Saccharomyces cerevisiae S288C: one gene and its partners. Changing the gene in region 2 together with the main gene of any one other region gives a genetic interaction. Each region holds a gene or a part of one and is shown on either strand. Other genes may lie near its edges. The genes, in order: ZDS2, IGO1 and NET1.

Evidence for each region.
Region 1: mutations in IGO1 (region 2) and ZDS2 impair growth when combined (synthetic growth defect), as found in Saccharomyces cerevisiae (one study listed by BioGRID).
Region 3: of IGO1 (region 2) and NET1, changing one suppresses a phenotype caused by changing the other (phenotypic suppression), as found in Saccharomyces cerevisiae (one study listed by BioGRID).

What each region holds. Positions count from the first base shown.
Region 1 is NC_001145.3:49,998-60,606, reverse strand, and holds ZDS2 (Zds2p), read right to left. Parts: upstream 8,968-10,609; coding exon 6,139-8,967; downstream 1-6,138. Other genes in the region: MDM1 (Mdm1p), read left to right, coding at 1-1,668; RNA-binding signal recognition particle subunit SEC65, read left to right, coding at 1,920-2,741; orotate phosphoribosyltransferase URA5, read right to left, coding at 3,154-3,834; PML39 (Pml39p), read left to right, coding at 4,338-5,342; YML108W (uncharacterized protein), read right to left, coding at 5,497-5,814; COQ5 (2-hexaprenyl-6-methoxy-1,4-benzoquinone methyltransferase), read left to right, coding at 9,653-10,576. UniProt on the Saccharomyces cerevisiae protein: Acts as a negative regulator of polarized growth via an alternative mechanism to ZDS1. In heat-stressed cells appears to play a role in localizing BCY1 to the cytoplasm. Seems to interact with, and down-regulate, CDC42. Also acts as a suppressor of PKC1.
Region 2 is NC_001146.8:333,121-341,465, forward strand, and holds IGO1 (phosphatase regulator), read left to right. Parts: upstream 1-7,231; coding exon 7,232-7,738; downstream 7,739-8,345. Other genes in the region: serine/threonine protein kinase CBK1, read left to right, coding at 1-1,747; YGP1 (Ygp1p), read left to right, coding at 3,425-4,489; ASI2 (Asi2p), read right to left, coding at 5,358-6,227; PGA1 (Pga1p), read left to right, coding at 6,492-7,088; NSG2 (Nsg2p), read right to left, coding at 7,949-8,345. UniProt on the Saccharomyces cerevisiae protein: Required for TORC1 to properly control gene expression and chronological life span. Plays an essential role in initiation of the G0 program by preventing the degradation of specific nutrient-regulated mRNAs via the 5'-3' mRNA decay pathway.
Region 3 is NC_001142.9:289,610-301,147, reverse strand, and holds NET1 (Net1p), read right to left. Parts: upstream 5,904-11,538; coding exon 2,334-5,903; downstream 1-2,333. Other genes in the region: cohesin subunit SMC3, read left to right, coding at 1-1,991; APQ13 (Apq13p), read left to right, coding at 2,272-2,688; YJL077W-A (uncharacterized protein), read right to left, coding at 6,263-6,349; ICS3 (Ics3p), read left to right, coding at 6,087-6,482; YJL077W-B (uncharacterized protein), read right to left, coding at 7,003-7,101; PRY3 (Pry3p), read left to right, coding at 7,167-9,812; PRY1 (sterol-binding protein), read left to right, coding at 10,374-11,273. UniProt on the Saccharomyces cerevisiae protein: Has a role in chromosome maintenance and is involved in mitotic exit. Inhibits the action of CDC14 by sequestering it in the nucleolus. Also binds to RNA polymerase I and stimulates rRNA synthesis.

The DNA of each region.
Region 1 (10,609 bases), on a different chromosome or scaffold from region 2:
CACATCATTTCGACTGATATATATGCTCACTTTCTGAGTAGAATCGGTGGTGTTAACAATCCAGAACAAAACAAAATAATAAAAGATAATGTGAAGACTGATTTTATGAATCCTGTCAGAATATTCGCAAACCCCGGCATCACAGATGCTTTAGATAATATAGTGAATGGATCGGGATCCAAGCCGCATAAATCAAGAATAAGCTCAAATCCCCGTTATTCTCAGCTCTTTGGTTCAGAAAATGACAACATTTTCAAAGATAAACTCTTCGACGATGAAAACGATAATACCTCAGAAATTTCTGTTGTCGAGGATCAGTTGGATCACCCACGTAATATGGAGAAAGTAAGTGTTTCCAGCGGGAATTCAGGCCTAAATCCTAGCCAATTTTATGGGTCAAACAACTTTAGGGATAATATAGCATCCTTGACTATTTCAATTGATCAGATTGAGAAAGAGCTTGAACTTTTAAGGCATTTGATTTTGAAGGCAGATCTGACCAACAATCAAATGCAGTTGAAAATTTTAAAAAAGTCACAAAGAACCCTATTAAAGGAACTAGAAATGAAGGAACTGTTGAAACAGCAATATATGGTACAAGAAAATGGTAATAGTTTGTTCAGAAAAACTAAGATATACATTAGGTCGTACTTCAGTGAGAATTCTAGTAATGGCCTAAAAGAAATAACTTATTATATCATCAATATCCATCATTTTAACAATGGGCAGGTAAGTTCTTGGGATATGGCAAGGAGATATAATGAATTTTTTGAATTAAATACATATTTGAAAAAGAATTTTAGGGATCTGATGAGGCAGTTGCAAGATTTGTTCCCGTCAAAAGTGAAAATGTCATTGAAATATCATGTTACAAAAACATTGCTTTATGAGGAACGAAAGCAAAAACTTGAAAAGTACTTGCGAGAACTATTATCTATTTCTGAAATATGCGAAGATAACATTTTCAGAAGATTTTTGACAGATCCTACCCCATTCAAACTGAACAAGGAATATATGCATGATGATATTCTGGAGGAGCCACTTCATGAACCTATTGGTAGTAGTAATAGCACAAGTAATAGCAGTTCTGTTGTTGATTTACAAAGCTCTGAAGACGGCGGTGAATTGAATTTCTATGAAGATGAAAGACATTTTTTCACCGATTCTGGCTATCCTTTTTATTCGCAAAATAAATCTTTTGTTAAACAGATATGTGACTTATTTATTTCGCTCTTTGCTTTAAATAAGGCCAACGCGGGTTGGTTAAGAGGAAGGGCTATAATTACCGTTTTACAACAGCTTCTTGGGAGCACTATTGAAAAGTATATAAAGGTCAGCATTCAAAAATTGAGATCAGAGGATCAAGTATTTGAAGCAATAGTTACATTCAAGAATATGCTATGGGGTGATAACGGTCTGTTCGAAAGAAAAAGAAATGAAACGGCAGAGGCAACAAGAAGCGAAGGTGAAAGGTTACGGACGGAACAACTCGCTTTAACCAGTTTGCAAAGACTCTTCGCAGACACTTGTGGTCGTGTAGTTGGTCTAAGAGATTCTCATGAAGCTGCTGGCCGGGTCCATGCCATGCTACAGAATCCGTATTTAAATGCCAGCTTACTGTTGGAAGCTCTTGATGCAATTTTATTGGACATAATATGTAATGACTGAAAATAAAACTTGACTAAGTACCGAACAATCTAAAAAAAAAAGTGTAATTGTCACAATAGCAAATAAATTGGTACACTTCTTCAGCCGCTTTAAAAATTGTGTACTTCTTCTTAAAACAATTGGGAAGTATTTATTTTTCACGCTTTTGTAATCTGAAAAAAAAAAAAATATCAATGATATTCAACAGGCTAGCAACTAACGAAATCAAAAGAAATAAAATAAGCCATAAGCTATAGTATCATAAAGTCAAAATGCCTAGATTAGAAGAGATTGACGATTTCAATGATATCGACGACCTTGATATGGAATTGGCCGAGTTAGATCCATCTTTGAGGACGCCGATCGCTCCCAAGATAACGCCTAAGGTTGTAAGGAGCCAGGACCAAGAGAACCCTGCATTTTTACCTGGCACGAATAACAACAGTAATAGCAACAACAATAGTAGCAACGAAAAAGAGCAGTTGAGTTTTATTAACCCAAAAACTGGTAAGGTTGAACGTTCGGAGGCTATTTCGAAGAAAGATTTAGAAGAAGTCAAAAGATTCCAAGTACTCTATCCATGTTACTTTGACATAAACAGATCACATAAGGAAGGGAGAAGGGTTCCTAAGGAGTTGGCTGTTGAAAATCCTTTGGCTAAAACTATGGCAGATGCTGTCCGTGAATTGGGAATATTATGCATTTTTGAAGGTGAAAAATGTCACCCACAAGATTTTGGTAATCCTGGTAGAATTCGTGTACTTTTCAAAGAAAATGGACAATTAATTGGCGCAGCCACTAAATTCAAAGGTGGAAAGAGGCAATTAATGAAAGCTGTTGGGGAGTATATGAAAAGACATCCAACTACTATTGAATCTTTAAGGGAGATTCCATATGGCCCTGATTTCGACAATATTGAATTCAAAAAGATTCCACGTGTAAAGGGATTCAAAATGAATGAGATTGTTCCGCTGCATAGTCCGTTCTTGATGGGCCACCCAATGACAAAATCTGTTTACGAAACTCCTAAGATTACAGCGGCAGAAAAGTCGTTCAAGCCACCAAAAAATAAGTACAAAGTAGTTAGAAGATGATTGTCTCCTTTACCCATTTATGTATATGTATATGTATATTGAGATTAATATATTAATATATTAATAGATTATAATAGCAGAACTATAAGAATATGATGTTTGTTCAGATCAAGTGCTAAATGACTTGTTGTATCAGCTTTTAAATTTTTACATCAAGACAAATCAATTATTCGTATTATTTCGTCTGTAGTTGAAACAGAGTTCAATAAGCCAAGAGTTTTGAAGCAGCTACAGGCAAGAGGTACCGAAACACAGAAAAAAGTAACAAGAAAACTCTCTCGCTCTATATATATGTGTGTGAATATACGCTATTTATACACATATATAGATGAGCGGCGTGCATGTATCGTAGTAACTAAGATTAATAGTTCTTAAAAGAGATAAATAAATCATTTAATTAAAAAACTGATTTTTAAGCGGAGGCACCGTAGGTTTGAAGGTATTGTTCGATCTTGCTTTTCTCTTCTGCTGTTATTCTGCCTTCCAAATAGGTAATTATGTGAATTAAGGAGACAATGCTCAAGACTGGGATACCGTATTTTTTGCTAACAGTTTGAGTGGCGCTGAGTCCTTCTTTATCGTCAGTACTCACAACTTCCTGTCTATCAAGAGCAATTATGGAGCCAACTACCTGACCCTTGGCGTTACTGATGATCTCAAAGGCCTCGTTAATGGCAGTACCAGCAGTCATGACGTCGTCGATGATTAATATTCTCTTGTTCTCTAGGGCAGAGCCGACAATGATACCACCTTCACCATGATCTTTGGCTTCCTTTCTGTTAAAAGCGTACTGAATGTTTTGAAATTTAGAGCCACCAATCTCCGCCAATTTCACACAAACAATAGCAGCAAGTGGGATACCTTTGTAGGCAGGACCGAAAATCACATCAAATTTCAAATCAGATTGTATGATGGCAATTGCATACGCAGTAGCCAAATTGGAAAGCAATTTACCAGTATTGAACAATCCCAAATTAAAGAAATATGGCGATTCTCTACCTGATTTCAACTTGAATGAACCAAATCTTAGAGCCTGGCATTCGATGGCCAACTCTAGAAAGTTCTTTTGGTAGTCTTCCAACATAATAGGCATTTTGAATAACTTTCTTAATCTTTAATTTTTTTGTGTATCCTTCATACAATGTCAGACACAATAATACGCAACCAAAATTCCGTTAGTAGTATATCGCAGAAGTAATGCTTTATGGAAATTTTGAATGAATCTTATTTGACAAATAAAAGCCTGTTAATAATAAGAAGTGTCTTTATTCAAAAAAGGAACGTAAAGTTGGAACAATGATTGAAATACCCCACAAAATTCTCCCAAAAAAAAAAAGACAAAATGCAATTTCCTTTTGAAATGTATTCAAAAAATAAATTTGTTAAAAACCTCTGATTGATGATGAGATCAAACTACCAAACAATTGTTATCAAATCAAAATGCTCTTTGTTTTGCTTATTGAATATGGAAAATGTTTGAAAAATTTTCAAGCGCTAGTCATTCGGAACGAAAGTAACTGTCATCTTGAAATCTATGGTAAAGGAGAAATAAAACATTATTCCCCAGGAATTGACAGGAAAGTAGGGCAGTTACTAATGGAAAAGGACGCATTGGAGGTTAGACTGAAGTCTATTAGACATTCGCTGGACAAGAATACCAAACTTTTACCGGGAAAATATAGGAATACTCTAGGAGAGCGACTTATTACCAAATGGAGGTACAAGAAGAAATCCCATAATGGCAGTTCAATGTTGCCTGAAAAATGTAAGAGCCACGTGCAATTGTATGATGATTTGGTACAAGAAAGCTCTAAACATTTTGTTGGTTTCCGATTACACGATCTTCGGGCCTTGTTGAAAAGAATATGCTCCATTCAAAACTACACAAGGCATGTGCTCATTGAATGGGACGTTCGATGGGTCAATCCACTGACTCTAGCATCCAAGGGCTGGGAGCCGTACCAAAGTGCATCCCAGTCGCAAGTGCCATTTAAGTGCTGTTGTTGCCATGCCATTATGACAATTCCTTTATTAAAAAATGGCGATGATGTCGCCGATTACACCATGAAATTGAATGAAAAAATCTGGAATTCCAATATAATTGGAAATCATCTCCAAAAGTGTCCGTGGAGGGAAAATCAGGTTGATTTAAACAAAGAGTATTATTTAAGCTCACAAAACCTTATAAGGGAAATTGAAAGAATTCATACAGAAATTGACAGAATTGTTTCCGGATCAAATGAATTTAGCCTTAAAAGAAACTCTTCCCGTATATTTCATTACTTGTCTGAGAAAGAAATACAAAAATTGGCATTTTTTTTCGATTGTAAAGACTATTCTCTCGTAGGTCTGTTGCTTCTCGGCTACACGAAATTCCAGAAGGATGATCTGGTTCAATGCACGGCTTGCTTTCATCGAGCATCCCTGAAGAAGTTAGAATATACAGAATTTAACGGACACGCTCTATGGTGTCGGTATTACAACAAAGAGTTGTTGCCCACAATGTTGCTGGAGTTAATCGGCAAGGAGGACAAACTAATAACGAAATTGGGCGTGGGAGAAAGACTAAATAAATTAGAGGCTGTTCTACAAACTTTATAAATTAGATGTAATACATTATCCAAATTCTCATATGCTTGTATATGCCCCCATGCTGATGCGCAGATTCTGTCACTCTCTCTTTAAATTACGTGCACATATGCATACGCAACAGTCACGTTATATTCATGCAAAAAACCGAAGCAACATCATTATTTCAGTTATTCTCTTCGACAAATTTCTTTACTTTTTCGACAACCTCTTCAATTTCCTTATCTAGCATAAGTACAATTAAACCATCGCTACTAATTTCGTATTTGATATGACCTTCGTTCGGTATACATATTTCGGCATCGAACTTATCAAACCAGGTATTTAATTCGTCCAGTTCGTCAACATTAAATGGAAGTATCAACTCGTCAACAAATTCATGCATTTTTCCCGGCTTACCTTTCAAAAATTTTTCATCTTCTTTATTTATCTTGGTGTCGTCTTCTAGTAAGACGAGCATCCTATAAGTATTACTCTTGGACATTTCGTTTTTCTCTTTCGTCTTAGTGTAGTACGAGATAGAATTCAACCGCAAGGTAGCCTTGCTGTATTGGACAGATCATTCGAATTTGTTCCAAATAGGATGAGATGAGGTCGGCTTTTCTTCATTCTCGCTAGAAAATTTAAAAAAAAAGAAAAAAATAATTACATAAATATATATTTATATGTATATACTGTAGTCCTTCCTTGCATGAAAAGACGACGTTTTTCGTGATAATAAGAAGTTTGACACTAAAAGGGCATCCTTACAATACTTGAAATATGTGGCCTTATATAGGTATCTATCAATCTTGTAAACAGTTATGAGTTAAATGTCTGGAATTAAGATTGTGCCATCAGAATCATTTTTGTCCATCATTCCCAAGGCAGAATCACCATTGAAGGCTATATCTCCAGTGCCCACCTGCTCCATGTATAAGGTATGATTGACTAAATTCAAGTAGGAGTACATGAAGTTACTTAGCAATACTTGTTGTCTTAATTCCCTCCCGGGATCGCTAAGCTTCAGATGGCTGAGTCTGTAAATAGCCCTTTCAACATTAATTCCTAGACGATGGTCAAACATAATCACTGTAGAGTTGGTTATCATTGGTAATGGGAATCCAAAAGCACTGTCTGTGAATTTTATTGGAGCGTTTGAGTAATCTGGTTTAACGACATCTTCAAATGTCAATTTTCTTGGAGGCAAAGTTGAGATTTGAGGGGCAGTAGGTGAAGTGTTGTCTTCTCTCTCTGCTCCTATATCCTCTTCTAGTCCAGCTGTCGTATCTCTACTGATACTAGAGTGCACTTCGACGTCGTAGTTTACATCACCACCACTAATATCAAATGAATCGTCGCCATCTAACTCGCTTATAGTTTCCACCACAAATTCAGAACTGTGGCTAGTATGGCTGTCAGGAAGAAGGGTGGAAGCATTTGAACTTCTCACTTCTGGTTCAATGACGCTTGCTGTATCTATATCTTCGGTGGTAATTGTTTTGGTGGGGGATGAAGGGCGTTCAACTTCCGCTTCTTGGGGCTTTTTCTTGGGACTTTTCCTGAATTTTGATAAACTCGAATGCGAAGCCTTCTTTTTCAGTTCTTTTTTAACACTTTTTTTGATTACTTTCACATCTGATTTGCAGGTACCATTATGTTGTTTTCTTTTGAATAATTTGGCAAGCCTTTTCTCCAAGGAATTTTTCTTATGTGTACTGGCTTGGGTGTCAGTAGGCAGTTCTACCTTTTTCTCCACGACTGCCGGTGCAGTAGGCTTAGATGGCTGGGATTCAGATGAAGAAACGACTGAAGGAGTGATTACCACGGATTTTGCTTCTTCAGAATGTATCTGGAAAATTGGCGAATGTCTATTTTTGGAATGGTTTATTCTTTCAGAGGCACGTTTGGTAGATTTCGCTCTCCTCGATACACTCAAGTTAACAAAGTCAGCTTTTTCATTGTCCACACATTCTTCATCGTCTTCATCATCTGTAAGCTGTTGATAAGTTTGTTCATTAGCGTTCAAACTTCCATTGCTAGAATTCAACCATGACCAGCCATGATTTGCTTCGCTGTTATTGGTATTTGATTTTTCACTCGAGCTAACGTGCTGATCCAATTTTTCAGAAATCATCGAACCAGTGTTATGCGGCTTTATTAAAACGCTGTTGTTAGAACTATCTGTAGATAAAAGACTGCTCTCTTGAGAAATAGATGCATGTGTCAAATCTTCTTCATCCGAATAGTAGTTGGTGCTATCAACGTATTTCTCATTTTCGGTACTCCAATCAGTACTTGTTCTTCTGTAATGGTCGAAAATCTCGTGAAAATCATTCAATGATGCTTGCTCCTGAGGCACTTGTGTGTAGGAGGCAGGCGATGATGCACTTCTGCGATTGTCATTAGTTTGTATATTCATTAGGCTATTGAGTTTTACCGCCTGTGGAAGGCTACTACCCTCTAGTCTGATCTTATATGTGTTGAATTTAGACCTCCTTAGAGAAGATCTCTCTGGTATGGTAAGTCCAGTTTCATTAAACATATTTGATGCAAATTCGTTATCATTTTCAGTGTGATTGCCGTTCAAATGAAGACTTTCGTTGGTAAATGACCCTGACATGCTCAAGCTTCTGGCTAAAGTCACCGCATCTGAGTCCGTTAAACCGGCATTATTGGAAATCTTAGTAAGCTCTTCAGTAATTTCTTTCAAAGATACAGATCTTATGGTTTTGATGTCAGATGAGGATATTCGCTTATCCACTTGTATTTCTCCTTCTTGTGGTTTGTCTGCAAGGGGAGGTTCGTCATCAAACTTGGTATAAGATGTCTTCAACCGAGAAGGCCTTCTAACTACAGAGCCCGTGCGTTTTCTATTCGAAATTACATGATTGTTACCCAGTTCTAATTTGTTTTCATCAATGTCTTGATTTGTGCTTATTTGAATGTTTTGTAAAGTGTCCTGGATCAATTCCAAATAGTTTTCGGGCTTAACGTTAGGATGTTGGTCAGCGGGCACCCACAAAAGGTTTTGAGTTAAATCAACCATTTTTGAATCGTGGTCGTTCTCCACATCCAATACAACATCGTGAGCCAATGTCTTTACTCCACTGAGCCTTCTGTTCCTCGACGTTACTCTTGCTGAAGATGAAGTGGATGAAGAAGCATTACGGATGATTTTTTCCTTCTCCAATGTTTCTTCATCATGCAAATACTCTGTTTGAGTGATATCTATACTGTCGTCGACATTAGTAGCATCGCCCTCTTCATATGCATCATTGTCTTCGCTCCCTTGTTCTTCCTTTTGTTCTGATCGTATAATGTTCTCTTCATGGAGCGATTCTTGAAGGGATTCCTTTGAGGAATCTGAAGAATATGAGTTTCTACTGTTCACTTTGAACTCTAGCTCAGGGTCAATTACCAAATCCATTGAACCAATCGACAATCGCTTCAAATTTTTCACATTCTGAATTTCTGTATCTAAAGACTTGGCAGCAATTAACACGTCAGATTTCCTCTTCTCAAAAAGCTCCTTCTTGGACAGCTGTGTCTTCCTCATTCGCCTCATTTGAATATTATTATTACTGTCCGTACCACCACTACTGTTTTCTACAGTATTATGGCCATCTTTGTTTTGCATATCTTCCATCAGTACCATAAAATTCTAATTTAAATTCAGTCTATAGTGCAAACGTGATCAATGTAAAGTATACGATACTACTAACCTTGACACTGTTCTTTAGCGTTTTACTCCAGTTTTCAATCATATTATTATGATCTAACGAAGATGAGATGAAAACAAAAATAAGACGCGGCGTGTGCTACCCGCACAACGCGTCAGCAAATGTTACTGGTCACAATAATCATGCACTTATAATTAGCTACAAAAGGCCACTTCTAGGTCCAATGTGACCATTTTGCAGCCAAATCAAGCATAAACCGGCCGTGATACTATCGGCGATACACAGCCTAAATTTCTGAGTTTTGCGGTTTTCTCTGTGGGAAAAGTGCGAGAATTTTTCTGAATTGGGAAGAGTACATGTCAAAAACGGGAAGTGACACCATTGAGCAAATATCAAGGTATCCGATAGTTCTGTTCTCGATATTGGAACACAGTTATTTGGCAAATGTATCATTAAATGAAAGTCTTTCCGTATAGGATTCTGCCCTGTTGCCTGCTCTTCCCTAATATGGAAACTAGCTTCCGCATTTGACAAAAACTGAAAAAGTGGAAAAAAAAGGATCACACAAGAAACTATAAGGATATCTGCCACCTTCACTCCTTATACAGCTGCTGTTACAATTGCAAAGGGAATAGTACAGATCGCAGCAAGAAAGATATAATGTTGATTTCTTCACGGATCGTTCGAAGCTCGCTGGTAAATGTCCCGCTAAGATTATCTAGGTGTTTTACGCAAGCTCACAGAGCATGCAAAGAAGAAGAAGTTAATAGTCCTTTATCATCCGCAGCTGAACAGCCAGAGCAGAAGTATACGCATTTTGGTTCGAAGACTGTATTGAAGTCTACCAAGCAGAAGTTAGTTGGTGATGTCTTTTCTTCCGTGGCCAATCGGTATGACTTGATGAATGATGTTATGTCATTAGGAATTCATAGATTGTGGAAGGACCATTTTATCAATAAACTAGATGCGGGAAAAAGGCCAAACTCTACGACTCCTTTGAACTTCATAGATGTGGCTGGGGGATCCGGTGATATTGCTTTCGGATTACTAGACCATGCTGAGTCGAAATTTGGTGACACTGAGTCTACAATGGATATTGTAGATATCAACCCTGACATGCTTAAAGAAGGTGAGAAGAGAGCCATGGAACAAGGAAAATATTTCAAGGATCCTCGTGTGAGATTTTTGGTTTCTAATGGTGAGAAACTAGAGGAGATTGATTCTGATTCCAAGGACATCTACACAGTCTCCTTCGGTATCAGAAATTTCACCGATATTCAAAAGGGTTTAAACACTGCTTATAGAGTTTTGAAACCGGGCGGTATTTTTTATTGTCTAGAATTTTCCAAAATTGAGAATCCCCTAATGGACTTTGCTTACCAACAGTGGGCTAAGGTCCTACCTGTAATGGGCTCGATGATTGCTAATGACTACGACTCTTACCAGTATTTGGTGGAGTCTATCGAAAGATTTCCTGACCAAGAAACGTTCAAATCCATGATTGAGAAGGCAGGATTCAAATCTGCTGGCTACGAAAGTTTAACTTTTGGTATATGTGCCATCCATTGGGGCATTAAAGTTTAAAGTAAATAGAACAAATTTCCTTTTTTTTTTGTC
Region 2 (8,345 bases):
TGGGTCATATTCAAGCGGGTTAAGGAGTGTGAAAAGCTTCCAGAGGTTACAACAAGAACAGGAAAATGTCCAAGTTCAGCAACAACTTTCCCAAGCACAGCAACAAAATTCCCGGCAACAACAGCAACAACTTCAATACCAGCAGCAGCAACAACAACAACAACAACAGCAACATATGCAAATACAACAACAACAACAGCAGCAACAACAGCAGCAGCAATCACAATCTCCCGTTCAGAGCGGCTTTAATAATGGTACCATATCAAACTATATGTACTTTGAAAGACGACCAGATTTGTTGACTAAAGGAACGCAAGATAAAGCAGCAGCTGTAAAGTTGAAGATTGAGAACTTTTACCAATCCTCTGTTAAATACGCCATTGAAAGAAATGAAAGAAGAGTGGAGTTAGAAACAGAACTAACTTCTCATAATTGGTCAGAAGAAAGGAAATCTAGGCAATTGAGTTCTTTGGGTAAAAAAGAGTCACAATTTTTAAGGCTGCGTAGAACGAGATTATCGTTAGAAGATTTCCACACTGTGAAAGTCATTGGAAAAGGGGCATTTGGTGAAGTCAGACTGGTTCAGAAGAAAGACACCGGAAAAATATATGCAATGAAAACTTTATTAAAATCCGAAATGTACAAAAAGGACCAATTAGCACACGTCAAGGCTGAAAGGGATGTTCTGGCTGGAAGTGATTCTCCATGGGTGGTTTCGCTATATTACTCATTCCAAGATGCTCAATACTTATATTTAATCATGGAATTTTTGCCCGGTGGTGATTTGATGACCATGCTAATCAGGTGGCAACTATTTACAGAGGATGTTACTAGATTTTACATGGCTGAGTGTATTTTGGCCATCGAAACCATTCATAAATTAGGATTCATTCACAGAGATATTAAACCAGATAATATTTTGATCGATATTAGAGGTCATATAAAATTATCTGATTTCGGGTTGTCTACGGGGTTCCATAAAACTCACGACTCAAACTACTATAAAAAGCTTTTGCAACAAGATGAGGCAACTAATGGTATTTCCAAGCCAGGTACTTACAATGCAAATACAACCGATACTGCAAATAAAAGGCAAACAATGGTTGTGGATTCTATTAGTCTAACAATGTCAAACAGGCAACAAATTCAGACATGGAGAAAATCACGTCGTTTAATGGCATATTCTACCGTAGGTACACCAGATTATATTGCTCCTGAGATATTTTTATACCAAGGTTATGGGCAAGAGTGTGATTGGTGGTCACTTGGAGCAATTATGTACGAGTGTCTGATTGGTTGGCCTCCATTCTGTTCCGAAACTCCACAGGAAACGTACAGAAAAATCATGAATTTTGAGCAAACTCTACAATTTCCTGATGATATTCATATCTCTTATGAAGCCGAAGATCTAATCCGTCGACTATTAACTCATGCAGACCAAAGACTTGGTAGACATGGTGGTGCAGATGAAATAAAAAGTCATCCATTTTTTCGCGGTGTTGATTGGAATACAATCAGACAAGTAGAAGCACCGTATATACCAAAGTTGAGCTCCATCACCGATACTAGGTTCTTCCCAACCGATGAGTTGGAGAATGTTCCAGATTCCCCAGCTATGGCACAAGCTGCCAAACAAAGGGAACAGATGACAAAGCAAGGTGGAAGTGCGCCAGTCAAGGAAGATTTACCTTTTATTGGCTACACTTACTCCAGATTTGACTATTTGACAAGAAAAAATGCGTTGTAGGGACGCGTTAAGGACATTCCTCTTTATTCAAGTATTTATCTATGGATGTAGAACGCACATTATGAATAAATAACTGCACTTTTTTCGGGAAAAAAATTACCAAAATAGACATCAGCTTTATCATATGTCTCCTTGAAGTATTTGAACGACCACCTTTCCGAAGACAATGTACCTAGTAACCTACAGGCTGCCCTTAATCCATACATCCACGCACAATAGCACAATCTCGGTGATGGCTGGTTTTTTTACCTTGAAAAACAAGAAAAATGGCTGATGTAGTTGAAAAAGGTAAAAGAGATGGCAGATCAGGGGACGATTTTGTAGAGGAAGTATCTATATATATCGACCATATTGAAAAAAATATGAAATAACATACACACGTGTAAGAATATATAATTTTTGTTATTAACACGTCGTAAAAGAGAAAAGATCGTGCTTTCATCACGCGCTTCCTCTCGGCCTTTCGAACTATAAATTATAAGATGATCCAGTCTTACAATACTGAATGAAACTCAGGGAAGACGATAGCGGAGGTTCGACAACCGATCACTGTAAAACCTACACTTTCAAGTTCATTAATCGTCGCTTGAAAGATCGTCATAACCAAATATTGCTAGAAACAAAAGCGTTCGGGATAGGTCAAACCATGATGAACTAGTTCCACACGCATATCTTAAAGCGTGCTATTTTTTAAAAAGGGCAAATTTAGGAATGTCTGACGGAATCCCTAATCATCTTTGGCTTTTCCCTTCACTCCCTTCTTTTACCGACGATGGTTTGAAGGAAAGAGAAAAATGAGCAATAGGAAAATTCAGTAGTCGATTTCCATTTCAATTCCCTATTGGGTAATGTGGCGGCGAGGGCTAAACATTCGGTATCATTGATTCAATGTTCTCACAATGTTCAAATTCTCGGATCGGGTATCCCTAATTGGGATCTCTTTCCAGAGGAAGGGGCCTTGATGTGGGATTGAAGACACATGAGTTTTTTTCTCACCGTCGAAACTTTTGCTTACCCGTAAAACATCGGCCATTCGTTGGTTTATTATGTGACTTTTTTGTGACTTTTTTTTTTGCGAAGTTTTCTCGTCATCCGCGGAAGATCCGGCGGGCGAAAAAGTCTCTCACTTTTACCCAATCGGGGCATGTTATGTGGACATGTTATGTGTCCAAGAGACACATGAGCCCAAAAAGGGTACACTGTCTAAATAGTTTACCCTTTACGAATCGAAACTTCTCGAAGAAGGGGCCGAAAATTAGCGCAGAAGTTGACGAAAGTTTATACTTTTCCTAATGGAGAGGCTCAGGAGCTGAAAAGGGATATATTCGTACTCTATTGCATCTTCAAACTCCGAAGAATCTCAGTAGGGAGTGAAGCCGGCTTCTCGATGCTACAGTTCAACATCGATACTTTGAAGAAAGAAAGCGCCTATTATATCTCTTTTACCCTATTAGTAATAATTAGGAAAAAGGGAGAAAAAAGTACCTCACTAAAAAAACCATCATCTCTGAAATATAAAAAGCTTGATAGAGGGTGACATTTGCTAGAACTTCTGCTGTGTTCTCTTGGGTTATTGCTCTTATTGAATATCCCTTCTATTTCTTTCTTGCTTGTAAAAAATCAGCTCAAAAAACATCTACAGGATTAATCGTCAGTTAAGTAATACAGTAATAGAAAATGAAGTTCCAAGTTGTTTTATCTGCCCTTTTGGCATGTTCATCTGCCGTCGTCGCAAGCCCAATCGAAAACCTATTCAAATACAGGGCTGTTAAGGCATCTCACAGTAAGAATATCAACTCCACTTTGCCGGCCTGGAATGGGTCTAACTCTAGCAATGTTACCTACGCTAATGGAACAAACAGTACTACCAATACTACTACTGCCGAAAGCAGTCAATTACAAATCATTGTAACAGGTGGTCAAGTACCAATCACCAACAGTTCTTTGACCCACACAAACTACACCAGATTATTCAACAGTTCTTCTGCTTTGAACATTACCGAATTGTACAATGTTGCCCGTGTTGTTAACGAAACGATCCAAGATAAGTCATCCGCCGGTGCCGTTGTTGTTGCCAACGCCAAATCTTTGGAAGCTGTCTCATTCTTCTTCTCTATCATTTTTGACACCGAAAAGCCTATTGTTGTCACTGAAGATTCCGCTTATGCCATTCCAGTCGCTAACAATAAGAACGCTACCAAACGTGGTGTCTTGTCCGTCACTTCTGACAAATTAGTGTACTCCGGTGTCTTCACTCCACCTACTGCTTGTTCTTACGGTGCTGGTTTGCCTGTTGCTATCGTTGATGACCAAGACGAAGTTAAATGGTTCTTCGATGCTTCTAAGCCAACTTTAATCTCTTCTGACTCGATTATCAGAAAGGAATACAGTAACTTCACTACTCCTTATGGTCTATTAGAAAACGGTGTTCCAATTGTTCCAATTGTCTATGACGGTGGTTACTCTTCCAGTTTGATTGACTCCTTGAGTTCTGCCGTTCAAGGTTTGGTTGTTGTTTCTTCTGGTTCTACCAACTCAACCTCATCTACTATTGAAAGCACTGAAATCCCAGTCGTATATGCTCAAGCTAACACTCCATTAAACTTTATTGACAACAAAGATGTTCCAAAGAACGCTGTGGGTGCTGGTTACCTATCCCCAATTAAGGCCCAAATCTTGTTGTCCATTGCTGCCGTTAATGGTGTCACCTCCAAGTCCGCTCTGGAAAGCATTTTCCCATGAACTGATAGATATTAAATCTAGCGAAGCATAGAGATTCTTTTTTTACCAGTCATCATAACCATTATTTTACAAAATTTCCACGCAACAGCTTTTATTTTCGTTCGTAATAGGAACCATACTTCCCATTAAAGCAGTATGATTGTTTTATACACCTTTTTATTGTTATTTAAGACATACCCCAAATAATTAATTAATTAATTGATGAAAGAATCATATAAATTCTTGGCCATACATATTTTTTTATTATCTTTTGCTACATTGACCATAGGTGAATATCTTCCCGGGGTGACACTCCACTGAAGTGGGAAAAAAAGAAAAGTTTTAAAACATTGCTCACCTTAAGTCTCGAAGGTCTAGCATTCACTACCTGTAAGTGTCAAGACCCCACATGTATACATGGATACAATAAAGAAACAATGTCCGTATAATTTGTATACATTTTACTACAGATAAGGGATCTCACCCCCTTCTTTTGTGTCTAAGTGAAATCTTCTGATATATTTAGTGTTTTATAGCGTCCATGTTTTAAACTAGAACGGCAAAATAGTAGTTGTTGTAAACGCTTATTTTCGAGACATCAGGTAAAAAGGATAGTTAAATCTTACAATCAATGCATGTAGTGAGTGGCGTTTATCAATAGTTTTTAACAATTCCCATTTTGAAAGAAGCCCACAACAACCCTAGTAGTTCGTTAATATACGTTATGATGGTCAAGTGTCACAGTACGGAAAGCTTGCAAACAGCTCTTACATAGAGGAGTTGCTTCAAAATAAACGTCCTCTGGTGTCAAGTGTCTCATACAGCGACCACATGCGAAAGAAACTACTACAGATAAGCAAATACACAAATTATAATCGTGGATTCATCATCAGAATACGCCTGGCCCTGTAATCCTTTGGCTCACCAACATTCGATGGACACCTTTATATCTTCTAATAACAGTGAATAATAGACACAATACGAAGAAAAACCCAGCGGTAACCATGTAAACGGTACCACTTACGCCATAAGCTAAATAGATCAGAATGGTAGAGACTTTGACAAATAGCTCGAAAGCTTTAGCGAACATTAGTCTTATCCAATTTAAGTTGGGTTCATTGCCATCTCTACTTTTCATAATATGTTTTATCACAGGTGAAGAGTAAAATACAATGATGTTATGAAACTTTCCAAGCAACCCTAATTTACCAGTATCCTTATATGCTATTAATGTCGTGCCACCAGAACCAAATATCTTGGCAAATTTCCAGTATCCCACGATTTCGATTATAAAATCATTCTCTGAAAAGGTCATTGAATTGAACCCGCTCCTTAATATGTTGTATACGGAAAATGGGAATAAAATTAGCCCAATAAAGTAATCTAAAATGAATAAATTTCTAAGAAAAGTTCTGAGAGGGCTCTGCTGCCTTGCTGTGAATGGGGAATCGGCCGTATTGGCGTTGGTGGCTCTTATAGTGTCTGCATTGATTCCTCCATTTCCGTTTGTGGTTGCATCCATATTAGCTGCTCTATTTATATTTGAAGTAGAACTCATATTCCTCCTAAGGGAGTTAAATATTCCATCGATTGCTTGCTGTACATCCTGCTGTAGTTCTTGCTGAGATTGCTCGGTTACAGGTGAAGGCTCTCTACTATGCCTCGTTTCCGATTCTTCTAGAAATCGCTGAAACAGATAATCATCATTATCGTCTCTTTCTGTCCAATTACTGCGGCGATGATTTTGAGGCCTCGCCATTTTTTCTCACTAAATGCTTGTGAGGATGTATGCGTTTGATTCGGTGTCTCTTTAATCATATTCCCGAATCGACCCTATTTGAAGGTAGAGGGAGTTGTTTCCTCTCACTATTGTTATAAAAGATCATCAATGACGGAAACTAATATGCAATGAAAAAATGAGAAGTTTACATGAATATGAAGATTAACTGCACAGCAATGTTGTTGACCCTTGGTATTCGCACACACTAAGCCAACATAGGTTCGTTCAATTTTTAAAAAGAAGATGGTCCGGCCTCAGAATGTTCACTGGTTTATCGCTACAATTGTATTTTTCATCGGATTTGTACACGCTAATACAGAATCAATCTTATATAAGGTTCCTCACAACTTTCCCCTCAAAAAACCAAGAGACAGCTCTACTTATGCAAGAGATGTAAACTTGATATCTTCCATATCACTATCGGGAGAAGCAATGAGTCAGATCACTATCGAGGCCAATACCACTGACTTGGAGTTGCATAATACTACGTATATTGAACTGGCGGACTTACAGCGAGACGAAACATATCAGATTAAAGTGTGTTGGTCAGCAATACATCCAATTTCCATTAATAATCTCCAAACTATCACAATACCACGTTTCACTGAATTTCAGGGAACTAAGTCAGACTACGCGAGAATACTAGTGACTTTCCAGGTCTTGTCTGACTCGTATCCTAGTGAGCATGCCATGGTTCCAATACAAGTCTCATTAATCACCACTCGGCTAGGTATCCCCGTGGATATTTACCCAACATTAATCGTTATGGTGCTATTAGTAGCAGGGCTTGTTGTTACCCGGGCACCACACGTATTGAACGATCTTTTGCTGAAATTTTAGTATGGAAGCCTGAGCCCCCTTTGGCTGGATAGCTTGGCCTCATCACAACTAGAACGTAAAAAAGTCCATTAACCATCAAATGCTTCTCATTAAAGTGGGTATTTTTATCGAAAGAAAGGGACCTGAATATCTAACTCGCCGCTATGTCGAATGAAAACTTATCTCCCAATAGTAGTAACCCAGATTTAACTAAACTGAATAACGGCGAAAGCGGAACTATTGATACCAGCAAATTCTCGCCCAACGAAATGAAGCTATACAAAATGTACGGAAAGCTGCCATCAAAGAAAGATATTTTTAAGCATACCATGCAGAAAAGAAAATATTTCGACAGTGGTGATTACGCTTTGCAGAAAGCTGGCATTCAAAACAATGATCCAATAAACTATGGAAAGAATAACCTGCCATTAACAAATCCCAGCAAACTACGAGAAGATATAATAAAAAGAAGGATAAGCACTTGTCCGTCAACTGCCTCAACCGCTGGTGTAGTAGATAATGCGACGTTGATACAAAAGGAGGGAAGTATATCGAGTGGACCACCATCGTCTAATAACGGTACTATTGGAGGTGGTAGTACAAGTTCAACGCCAGTGGGGAACCACAGCTCTTCGTCGTCCAGTTTGTATACTGAATCACCCATTAGATAAATAGACAACCTGTACTTTTTTATATTTTTTTAGGGAAAGAGAAGGGTCTCTTATATTTAACGCTTATTATGTGATTTCTCGAAATGTCAAGTGTTACAGCCATATGGCTGACTGTGTTTACGTTAATTAGTTATATATAAACGATAAGCCATTCTGATGTTATCTTCTTGTACTTCTAATTAATAATATTTACTCGTCAGAATTTCGACTTTAATGAGAATATAGATATCTTCCTAGTTTTCCAAACATTAGAGAACCAAGGAAATAAAAATCCATGAAATATAAAAATTGGGAACCGTCGATAATATCTTTGTAGCAAGAGATACAACAACCCACCCCAATGCAGATGCAGCTCATTAACATGGATATTGAGCCGTCAAAAAACAACCACAGTATAATATTCAGAAGCCCCCATGCCCCTGCCGCCTGCAAAGAGGAGTTCCACTGTATTTTCCTGATCCCAAATGTGACTCCCAACATGGCATTGATACTTCTAATAACAGAGGTCAAACTGTCATGGTGGACAGAGCTCTTAACAACCTCTGTTTGAAAAATATTATCCAGAATTGGTACAACAGAACCAAATAACAGTCCTTCAACACCGTAG
Region 3 (11,538 bases), on a different chromosome or scaffold from region 2:
ATACCGAAGAAACGGCCACTTTGATTATGAACGAACTATATCGTATGAAGGGTGGGAGAGTGACGTTTATTCCCTTGAACAGGTTATCTTTGGACAGTGATGTTAAATTCCCCTCAAACACTACTACACAAATCCAGTTTACTCCCTTGATAAAGAAGATAAAATATGAACCCAGGTTTGAGAAGGCTGTCAAACACGTTTTTGGAAAAACTATTGTTGTCAAAGACTTAGGTCAAGGTTTAAAATTAGCTAAGAAACACAAACTCAATGCCATCACTTTAGATGGTGATAGAGCAGACAAAAGAGGTGTACTTACAGGTGGGTATCTTGACCAGCACAAACGAACACGTTTGGAATCATTGAAAAACTTAAATGAATCAAGAAGTCAACACAAAAAAATACTGGAAGAATTAGATTTCGTAAGAAATGAACTAAATGATATTGATACTAAGATTGATCAAGTAAACGGGAATATAAGAAAGGTTTCTAATGACAGGGAGTCTGTCTTAACAAATATCGAGGTATATAGAACATCGCTAAACACCAAAAAGAATGAAAAATTAATTCTCGAAGAATCATTAAACGCAATTATACTAAAACTAGAAAAGCTGAATACAAATCGTACATTTGCTCAGGAAAAGCTAAATACATTCGAAAATGATTTGCTTCAGGAGTTTGATAGCGAACTCTCAAAAGAAGAAAAGGAAAGATTAGAATCTTTAACAAAGGAGATTAGTGCAGCGCACAATAAGCTAAATATTACATCAGACGCCCTAGAAGGTATAACTACAACCATTGACTCGTTGAATGCCGAATTGGAGTCCAAACTTATCCCACAAGAAAATGATCTAGAATCCAAGATGTCAGAAGTAGGTGACGCATTTATTTTTGGTCTACAAGATGAGTTGAAAGAATTACAATTGGAGAAGGAAAGCGTTGAAAAGCAGCATGAAAACGCTGTGTTGGAACTAGGTACCGTTCAAAGAGAAATTGAAAGTCTCATTGCTGAAGAAACTAATAATAAGAAACTGCTAGAAAAAGCAAACAATCAACAGCGATTACTATTAAAGAAGCTTGACAATTTCCAAAAAAGTGTTGAAAAAACGATGATTAAGAAAACAACTTTGGTTACTAGAAGAGAAGAATTACAGCAAAGGATTAGGGAAATTGGGCTTCTGCCAGAGGATGCTTTAGTAAATGATTTTAGCGACATCACAAGTGATCAGCTATTACAAAGACTGAATGATATGAACACAGAGATTTCTGGTTTGAAGAATGTAAACAAGAGAGCTTTTGAAAACTTCAAAAAGTTTAACGAAAGACGCAAAGACCTTGCGGAGAGAGCTTCAGAGCTGGATGAATCTAAAGACTCAATTCAAGATCTAATTGTTAAGTTAAAACAACAAAAGGTTAACGCGGTTGATTCTACTTTCCAAAAGGTTTCTGAAAACTTTGAAGCTGTTTTTGAAAGATTAGTTCCCAGAGGTACTGCTAAGTTGATTATTCACCGTAAGAATGATAACGCTAACGACCATGATGAAAGTATTGATGTTGACATGGATGCAGAATCCAATGAAAGCCAAAACGGTAAAGATAGTGAAATTATGTATACAGGTGTTTCAATTTCTGTTTCCTTCAATTCTAAACAAAACGAACAACTGCATGTTGAACAGCTCTCAGGTGGTCAGAAGACTGTATGTGCCATTGCTTTGATTCTGGCAATCCAAATGGTTGACCCTGCTTCCTTCTATCTGTTTGATGAAATTGATGCTGCACTCGACAAGCAGTATAGAACTGCAGTCGCTACACTTCTAAAAGAACTGTCAAAAAATGCCCAGTTTATTTGTACGACGTTCAGAACAGATATGTTGCAAGTTGCAGACAAATTTTTCCGTGTTAAGTACGAGAATAAGATTTCCACGGTTATTGAGGTCAATAGAGAAGAAGCAATCGGATTCATTAGAGGTAGCAATAAATTCGCTGAAGTCTAAGAGATATTTGAAACGATTTGTATATAAAAATATCAGTTTTGCTTACATAAATAGCTATTTGTATGTAATTATTACCATTGTCTCCTATATTGGAATTTTAAAAAATTTTCTTTTAAGATGATACTGTTACTAAACAATAATGTTAAATATAGTAACCAAGCTTTGATAATTCGACGTACAAAAAAGATTACTTTTCTTAAAGAAGTTGCCCGCTTGCTGGGAAAAGAGGTAAATAAGAATTGGTTTACATGAAGATTTTTTAATATATTAATACTTTTATATGCTTGATTATTTTTTTTTACTAGCTTTCTGTGACGTGTATTCTACTGAGACTTTCTGGTATCATTTTTTCTTGAAATCTTTTATTAATGATGCAAATCCACCACTTGGCTTCTTCTTCTTACCTAAAGCAGCACTAGCGGATTTCGCACTAATAAAACTTTTTCCATCATCAGATGAATCCCCTGAGTCATCAGAATCTGACTCAGATTTAGAATCTGAACTGGAATCCGATACGGAGTCCGAACTGGAGTTAGAGTCAGAATCAGAGCTAGATTCATCATCACTACTTGAAGGGGCTTTTGTTTGTGACTTCTCATTCGATTTAGAAGTTTTTTCCTTTACATCTGGGATGCCTCTTGAAACAAGATCAGATAATGAACTCAAAGAAGGACGAACTTTTCTTGGAAGGTCATGAAGTATACTAGACGGATTTGAGGTGGTCTTGGATTTAACTGACGGAGGAGACGACATGTCCATTAGCTGTGTAACTGGAATTTTATCAGGGGTGGCATTGATTTTTTTGTTAACAGATGGAGAGGGGGCTTCAATCTTAGATGAAGATCTAACTGGTTCTCTTGGTGTATTTACAACAACTCTTCTAGCCTTCCTGGATGTTGAAGTTTCCTCATCAGAAGACGAGGAAGATGAACTAGACTCGTCTTCTGTGGAAGAACCTGAGGAGCTAGAATCATCATCGTTTGCACTAGAATTATTTTTTTCATTAGAAATTATTCCAGGTGGCACGAGTGTTTTACTATTAGTAAATTTAGCCTTCAAATCCTTCAATTTATCATTTGCACTGGGCTTAGGAAGCTGAACATTGCCTTCTTTTAAGTGATCTGTCATTTTTAACTTTTTCTGAGATACCTGTTTGCTTTTGGAGTCTTCTTTTTCCTTCGAGTTATTTTTATCGTTAGCATCCTGTATATTGGCAGATGCTTTTTCTGGTTCCTTGGACCCCTCTGCTTTCTTGTTCAAGTCTTCACCTCCTATGTTTGCGCTTTTCAAATCTGCAACCCTAGAAGTTGTTTCCTTCTGCTGCCTATCAATCTGCGCAGACTCATTCTTGGCCTTCGTTTTAACATTTTTACGATTTCCTTCTTCATTGAAAGAGGTAGTTCCTTTAGTAGCAACAGAAGGAGACCCACCAACAACAGGAAAAGACGATGCTTGTGTTGCTGGCTTAGTTTCCACCTTTGTAGCTTCATTTTGCTTCTTGTTTGAATTCGGATAAAAGCTTTTCGCCATTTGTTCACTTATTTTGCTATTTGTTACTGAAGATTCACTCACGGCTGACTTTTTTTGACTATCTCTTTTGTCGTTTCTTTCTTCATCAACTTCTTTATTGATTATCTTTGAGTCTTTCACTGGAACAACACTGCCTTTCAAAGAATGTAAAGAAATGTCTTTGGGCCCATTATTAGGCACCGACATATTTTTCCTTTTAAAATCATCGTCTGATGAGAAATCTGTTTCAATCCCACTCTCTGACTCATCGTCTGTGGACGCTGCCGAACTAGAATCTTCAGTACTTTTCTGTGGGACTTCGTTTTTCTTGGCACCTGCCAATAATTGGGCAGCCCTCTTAGCCGCACTTCTTGGGGTTCGCTGGGGCAAAATATTTCTTGGATCTGGCTTAGAATTGTCTATGTCTTTATTCAAAACCGTTGTGTAAGGCTTTGAATTTTTGGAATTACCGGAAGTTCTCGAATTTTTGCCCTTAAACCATTGCGGTAGATCTGTATCATCACCTTCGATCATTTTGAAAAGATCTGACTTTGGGAAACTAGAGGAATCTGAATCTTGAGGAACAATACGAACCGTAGTATCAACTTCATCATTATCATTGCCATCGTCCTCAATGGTGCCGTTAATGATAGTGCCATCTTCCTTTGAAGCGTTGTTGTTTGAACTAACTTTCCCAGCTAGTGATTTCAACGTCCCATTAGACTTATCAGATGATGCAAGTATTGGCTGATCATTATGTGGAATTGTCGGCAAAATTTCCTTTTCTAAAAGTTTATCATTCGTATCTTCTTTTTCTCTTACCTGATTATCATCTAGGAAATTAGTCATTCTTTTCGGTTCCACAATACCGGAAGGTTCCGCCTGAGATTTCTTTTCCACTATAGTTTCCAGTGAACTCTTTCTTGGTGGTTGATGTTCTTGTTGCTTTCCCCAGGATTCGCCATTTGAAGATTTGGTGATCGAGGTATTGCTTGCCTTGGGAAGTTCTGCTAAATGCACATTGTGTGGCATGGCATCACCGAGAGGACTATTTTTCACCGGAGAGCCATTATTATCTGCGATGGAGCTTTGACTACGTTGCAAGGAAGCCTTTGAATGTGGTTCTGTTTCAGGAGTTTCTTGGTTTTCGCTACTTGAGCTATCGTCGGATTCGTAGTTCTCGCCATTTTCCAAGTAAGGTTTTTTCATTGGAATCTTTGCAGCTTTAGCGGGTAAAATGGAGGCCGGACTGGAAGGTCCCTCTTTTAACTCTTTTTCAATCTCTGAGATTCTTGGCTCGGGGATTTTCAACATTCCTGATGTTATTCTTGGAGTGGTTACGGGTGGTTTCCTATTAATGTCCTGAGCAGTGACAGCAGCTGTGCCACCATTAGCAAATGAAGAGGAAGAAGCTGAAGCAGAGAAAACCAATTCGTTTTTATGTGCGTGTTCAGAAACCACTCTCTGACCGGTAAGAGTAACTCTGTTTGGAGTCATGGTGGACATTATAGGAGTTCCGGACAATAGACGTTGCTGCTTTGTTTTATCTGGATCCACGGTTGCTGATCTGGACACGATATCTTCCTCGACGATGCTTGATTTTATTTTTTTACCTGCGTCAATGCCCGAACTAATTCTTATGGGAGGTGACTGAGGCTGCGTTGGAGGCGGCAAAAAGGATCTTTCACCAATGTCTTCGTCTTCGTCATCTGAGTTGTTGGAGACGATCTTCGAAGAAGGTGGAGGATAAATTTGCCTAGCCAATGGGGTAGAAACCCTCATGGATCCATTAGTGGCACTACGAATGGTTGTTGTTGTCGTGGTTCCTGTAGGTGGCCTCTTCTTGGCAATCCGAAGAACACCTGAAGAGGACGGGATTTGTTGTTGCGGCTGCACCGACTGGGGCGACCCGTTGTTCAACTTGGATCGTTTTACCGACTTATAAAGTGACACTGGTGCGGAATCGTCCAGATCTATCTCATTCTTCAATATAACTCTTACGATATTATTTACATTGAAAACGTCCTTTACCAAAAAATCCGGATCAAGGTCACAACCGCTGTTATCTTGCAAACTCAAAATTTCAATGTCTTCTTGCAAACTCGGGTACATTTTTTCACACTTATCGATGATTTCATCACTCAAGTTCAACAGCGTGTTTGTCGGCTTGGTAAACAAAAGAAACTTCCTAAACCTAGACTGGTTGAAATAGCTTGGCGTGAAACTCACATTGGCAGATCTCAGATTAGCATACTGCAAAGAGGCATCTCCGGCGCTTTGCGCCATATTAGTTCTGTTTGGCAACAATTGAGAAGATTCGGCGATGGTTGGTCCGTAGCCAAACTGTATTGGCATCGTCGCCTGAAGACTCGGAGGCACCAAGACCACTTGTAGCTTGTACATAGAAGGAGGCACGGTGTACAGTAATCGACTTCTCTCTGTTTCAGGCGAACCGAGACTAGGGATTCGATCAGCTCCGGCACTTATTTCATCGTGCTAGCTACTCTTCACTAGTTATTCAAATTGATTATTGACGCTTACCATGAAAAAGAAAAAAAGTTCAAAACATGTGGAACGGGTAACATAATGCACATATCGCTCCCTACGAGAAACAAATCTTATTTTCGAATACGTACACGTACATATCAAATAGGCTTATATCATTCTGACTCTTCACCAATCAGGGACATATCAGTACTACATCTGTTAATAGCAACGTTATGCACTATTTTTTTTCCAATTTTTTTTTCGTTGAGTAAAGTTCAGGTCGTACAGTGGCAAGGAACGACTATTTCTAAAAACTGTATTGCCTTAACCATGTCTTTCCCCTTGAACGCTATCCCTGGCATGTATCTGATAATTGCTTTCCCTCGTCTACAAACAGTAATTCCCCTGCAGCGAAATACTCCTGTTCGAATTACGAAATCGGTGATAGTGAAAGGCGCAGTGAGCGTGCCACGGATCTCCTCTCCGATGCACTAGGGTCCTGTTCCGTGCTCTGGTATCTCGATTAGGAAAGCGGAAGAAAAGAACGGAGGATACCTCTAATTAAGAGGGTCCGTTGTGTTGTGTTAAGCTCGGGTATAGGAAACTTGAAGAGAGGCGAAAAAAACCCAACGATGTGAGGAACGCGTCGCTATTGTTGGTAAGTTTGGCCGAAAAATTGTTTTTCTTCGCACATGGCTGGTTCTGCTGGAGGCGGCTGGGTGTTTATAGTTACCGCAATGCAGGTCGCTTCGTTTACTTTTCTCTGCGTGCTCGAGAACTGATAAATACTGGTTTAGGAAAACCGTCCACTTATGGATTTAACAAGGAGGTGAAAGGTAGGTACCATGGCAATATAGCTAGCAACGCTACGCACTAGCTGTGTGTGCTTGCTCTCTTGTGTTCGTCTTTCGTATATTGCGGGTTCCCGCGGTTAATTCAACAACAAATATGGTATCTAGGCAGGGACCCAGCAACGGAAGGATGTAATTGCTATATAGGGCCGATGAAACAGTTCTCATGTTTCAACTCGGTCGAAGAATTCTCTAAAACATATTCTATACTTCAAAGTTTTTAGCTTCTTGCTTTTCGGTAGTTGCCAAACCAATATCGGCATAAAATTATAATTGCTGCACCCCTGCAACTCCAAACAACTTAAAACAACTTAAAACGAAAACGCTTATGCTGGAGTTTCCAATATCAGTTCTGCTAGGATGCCTAGTAGCCGTCAAGGCACAAACCACGTTTCCAAACTTCGAGAGCGATGTGCTGAACGAGCATAACAAGTTCAGAGCGCTACATGTTGACACAGCGCCGCTCACCTGGTCCGACACTCTGGCCACCTATGCGCAGAACTACGCCGACCAATATGATTGTTCGGGTGTCTTAACGCATTCCGATGGCCCATATGGTGAGAACCTTGCCCTTGGTTACACAGACACGGGAGCGGTGGACGCCTGGTACGGGGAGATAAGCAAGTATAATTATTCAAATCCCGGATTTTCTGAATCCACGGGTCACTTCACACAGGTGGTTTGGAAGTCAACCGCCGAGATTGGATGTGGTTATAAATATTGTGGTACGACATGGAACAATTATATTGTGTGCTCCTACAACCCTCCTGGAAACTACCTGGGTGAGTTTGCAGAGGAAGTGGAACCACTTATAAGCACTGTTTCCTCGTCCTCATCCTCGTCCTCTTCTACCTCAACTACATCAGACACAGTCTCCACCATCTCATCCAGTATTATGCCCGCTGTAGCGCAAGGGTATACAACAACGGTATCGTCTGCGGCTAGCAGCAGTTCTTTAAAATCGACGACCATAAACCCTGCCAAGACCGCTACCCTCACTGCGTCCTCTTCTACCGTAATTACTAGTAGCACAGAATCAGTTGGATCCTCCACTGTCTCATCAGCCTCAAGCTCTTCTGTCACTACTTCCTATGCTACCTCCTCGAGTACCGTCGTCTCTAGTGATGCTACTTCATCCACTACCACCACCTCATCGGTTGCTACATCGTCCAGTACCACTTCTTCCGACCCTACCTCGAGCACTGCTGCTGCTTCTTCTTCTGATCCTGCCTCAAGTTCCGCTGCCGCTTCCTCCAGCGCGAGTACCGAGAACGCCGCTTCTTCTAGCAGCGCCATCTCGAGCTCTTCATCAATGGTTTCTGCTCCTTTGAGTAGTACTCTTACTACTTCCACCGCAAGCTCCAGAAGTGTAACTTCCAATTCAGTTAATTCTGTTAAGTTTGCAAACACAACTGTGTTTTCTGCTCAAACAACCTCTTCTGTAAGCGCCTCATTATCATCATCTGTAGCTGCTGACGATATTCAGGGTAGCACTTCCAAGGAGGCCACAAGCTCAGTTTCCGAACATACTAGTATAGTAACTAGTGCAACTAATGCTGCCCAATATGCAACGAGACTTGGGTCATCTTCCAGAAGTTCTTCCGGGGCCGTCTCTTCCTCAGCTGTGTCGCAATCTGTTCTGAATTCCGTTATAGCCGTCAACACCGACGTATCTGTAACCTCAGTTAGTAGCACAGCCCATACCACAAAGGACACCGCCACCACTTCAGTAACCGCCTCAGAAAGTATCACTTCGGAAACTGCTCAGGCTTCAAGTTCAACAGAGAAGAATATTAGTAACAGTGCCGCCACATCGAGTAGCATTTACTCCAACAGTGCTTCTGTGTCAGGACACGGTGTAACATACGCTGCCGAATACGCCATTACATCCGAGCAATCCTCTGCGCTTGCCACATCTGTGCCTGCTACAAATTGCTCTAGTATCGTGAAGACCACAACTTTAGAAAATTCGAGTACCACAACCATCACAGCCATTACTAAGAGTACTACAACCTTGGCCACTACTGCTAACAACTCCACAAGGGCAGCTACCGCAGTAACCATAGATCCCACATTGGACCCTACCGACAACTCAGCTAGTCCAACCGACAATGCTAAACACACCTCTACATATGGATCTTCTTCCACAGGCGCATCTTTAGATAGCTTACGCACAACCACCAGTATTAGTGTCTCAAGCAACACCACACAGTTAGTCTCTACCTGCACTTCCGAGAGCGATTATTCCGATAGTCCTAGCTTCGCCATCTCCACTGCCACCACCACTGAAAGCAATCTGATCACAAACACCATCACAGCTTCTTGTAGTACGGATAGTAATTTCCCTACCTCCGCTGCTTCTTCTACAGATGAGACGGCCTTCACTAGAACAATCTCGACATCTTGTAGCACTTTGAACGGCGCCTCAACCCAAACCAGTGAGCTAACCACATCGCCTATGAAAACCAACACGGTGGTTCCAGCTTCTTCTTTCCCTTCAACTACAACCACTTGTCTAGAAAATGATGACACTGCCTTTTCTAGTATCTACACTGAAGTCAACGCCGCAACTATCATTAACCCCGGAGAAACATCTTCTCTCGCTAGCGATTTCGCCACATCTGAAAAGCCAAACGAGCCCACTTCTGTCAAATCCACCTCAAACGAAGGCACCTCTTCCACAACAACAACCTACCAACAGACTGTTGCTACACTGTATGCCAAGCCCTCCAGCACAAGCCTAGGTGCAAGAACAACTACTGGTAGCAACGGTCGTTCAACTACCAGCCAACAAGACGGGTCTGCCATGCATCAGCCAACTTCCTCGATCTACACTCAACTAAAAGAAGGCACATCAACCACCGCAAAACTTTCTGCATACGAAGGTGCTGCAACACCTCTTTCCATTTTCCAGTGCAATAGTCTAGCTGGAACGATTGCCGCTTTTGTCGTAGCTGTTCTGTTCGCCTTCTAGACTCCTCGAACAACACCCAACTATGCATTTTTTTTCCTAAACGAGCGACACCTCCACACCCGTGCGCCAATCACAGTAATTATTATTCCTAAAGAGGTAATATGTACGCACAGAGTCATTTCCCGATGTGGATAAAAATTGCCTGTCTGCTCGAAGGGGAGGGATCGCATACCCATTACCTGTGTCGCTTTAGATAGAGGGACCCGTTTATTGCGTGTTAACAACTGTAGCACTCGTGTGCTTCCTGCAGCTATTGACTCTCTACTTCTTTAGAACTATATAATTTCTAACTTCTCTATTTTACCCATACCATATATAAACCCACCTCTGTTAACGAACCCGAAATTGTATTATTTATTCTTTTCGTATTCTCTATTTTTCTATTCTGAAAACAAGCAAGGAATCTTCAATCGCGCTCTCTTTTCAATCCTAGTTGCTACCGTTAGGTCTATCGCTACGTCGTAAGCTATTTCAATTCATTCTTTTTTTATAGGCCGCCACACTCTTCCGCTCTTTGATATTACTTTTTCTTCGTTTTTAATATCCCGTAATTGATAAATCATGAAACTTTCTAAATTATCGATCTTAACCTCCGCCTTAGCCACGTCTGCATTGGCCGCTCCTGCCGTTGTTACTGTCACTGAACACGCCCATGAGGCTGCAGTCGTTACTGTGCAAGGCGTAGTTTATGTCGAAAACGGCCAAACACGTACAACTTACGAAACACTAGCTCCTGCTTCCACTGCCACTCCAACTTCTACAGCTACAGCTTTGGTTGCTCCCCCTGTCGCTCCTTCCTCTGCTTCCAGCAATTCCGATGTGGTCTTGTCTGCTTTGAAGAACTTAGCCTCTGTTTGGGGTAAAACTACCGATTCAACGACCACGTTGACATCTTCTGAATCTACATCGCAATCGTTGGCTCAAGCTACTACGACTTCTACACCCGCTGCTGCTTCCACCACTTCCACACCCGCTGCTACCACCACCACTTCTCAAGCCGCTGCTACTAGCTCAGCATCGTCTTCGGATAGTGACCTGTCAGATTTTGCCTCTTCTGTGTTGGCTGAACACAACAAGAAGAGAGCTTTGCACAAGGACACACCAGCTTTGTCCTGGTCCGATACTTTGGCCTCCTACGCTCAAGACTATGCTGACAACTATGATTGCTCCGGCACTTTGACCCATTCTGGCGGTCCATACGGTGAAAACTTGGCTTTGGGTTATGACGGCCCAGCTGCCGTCGACGCTTGGTACAATGAAATTTCCAACTACGACTTCTCGAATCCAGGCTTTTCAAGTAACACTGGCCACTTTACTCAAGTCGTTTGGAAGTCCACCACCCAAGTTGGTTGTGGCATCAAAACCTGTGGCGGTGCATGGGGTGACTATGTCATCTGTAGTTACGACCCCGCAGGAAACTACGAAGGCGAATACGCCGATAATGTCGAGCCCCTAGCTTAACTTTCAAGAAAAGTTTTCATTGATCCTTCTTTCTCATTCCTTCATTTAATGTTCGTTTTATCTTCATTGTTTTACGAGGATTTTTCTGCTTCAGCAGTTCCTTGTTCACTAAGTATACCCATATATACCCGCCTATATACCCCAATTTTTTTATACAGTAACGAAACTTTTGGTAAACGTTTTCAATAATGTAGTAATATAGCCCATCAGGTATTCATCCACTCCACTGGGCATTTTCTGGAGATATACGTATTTATGTCCCTTT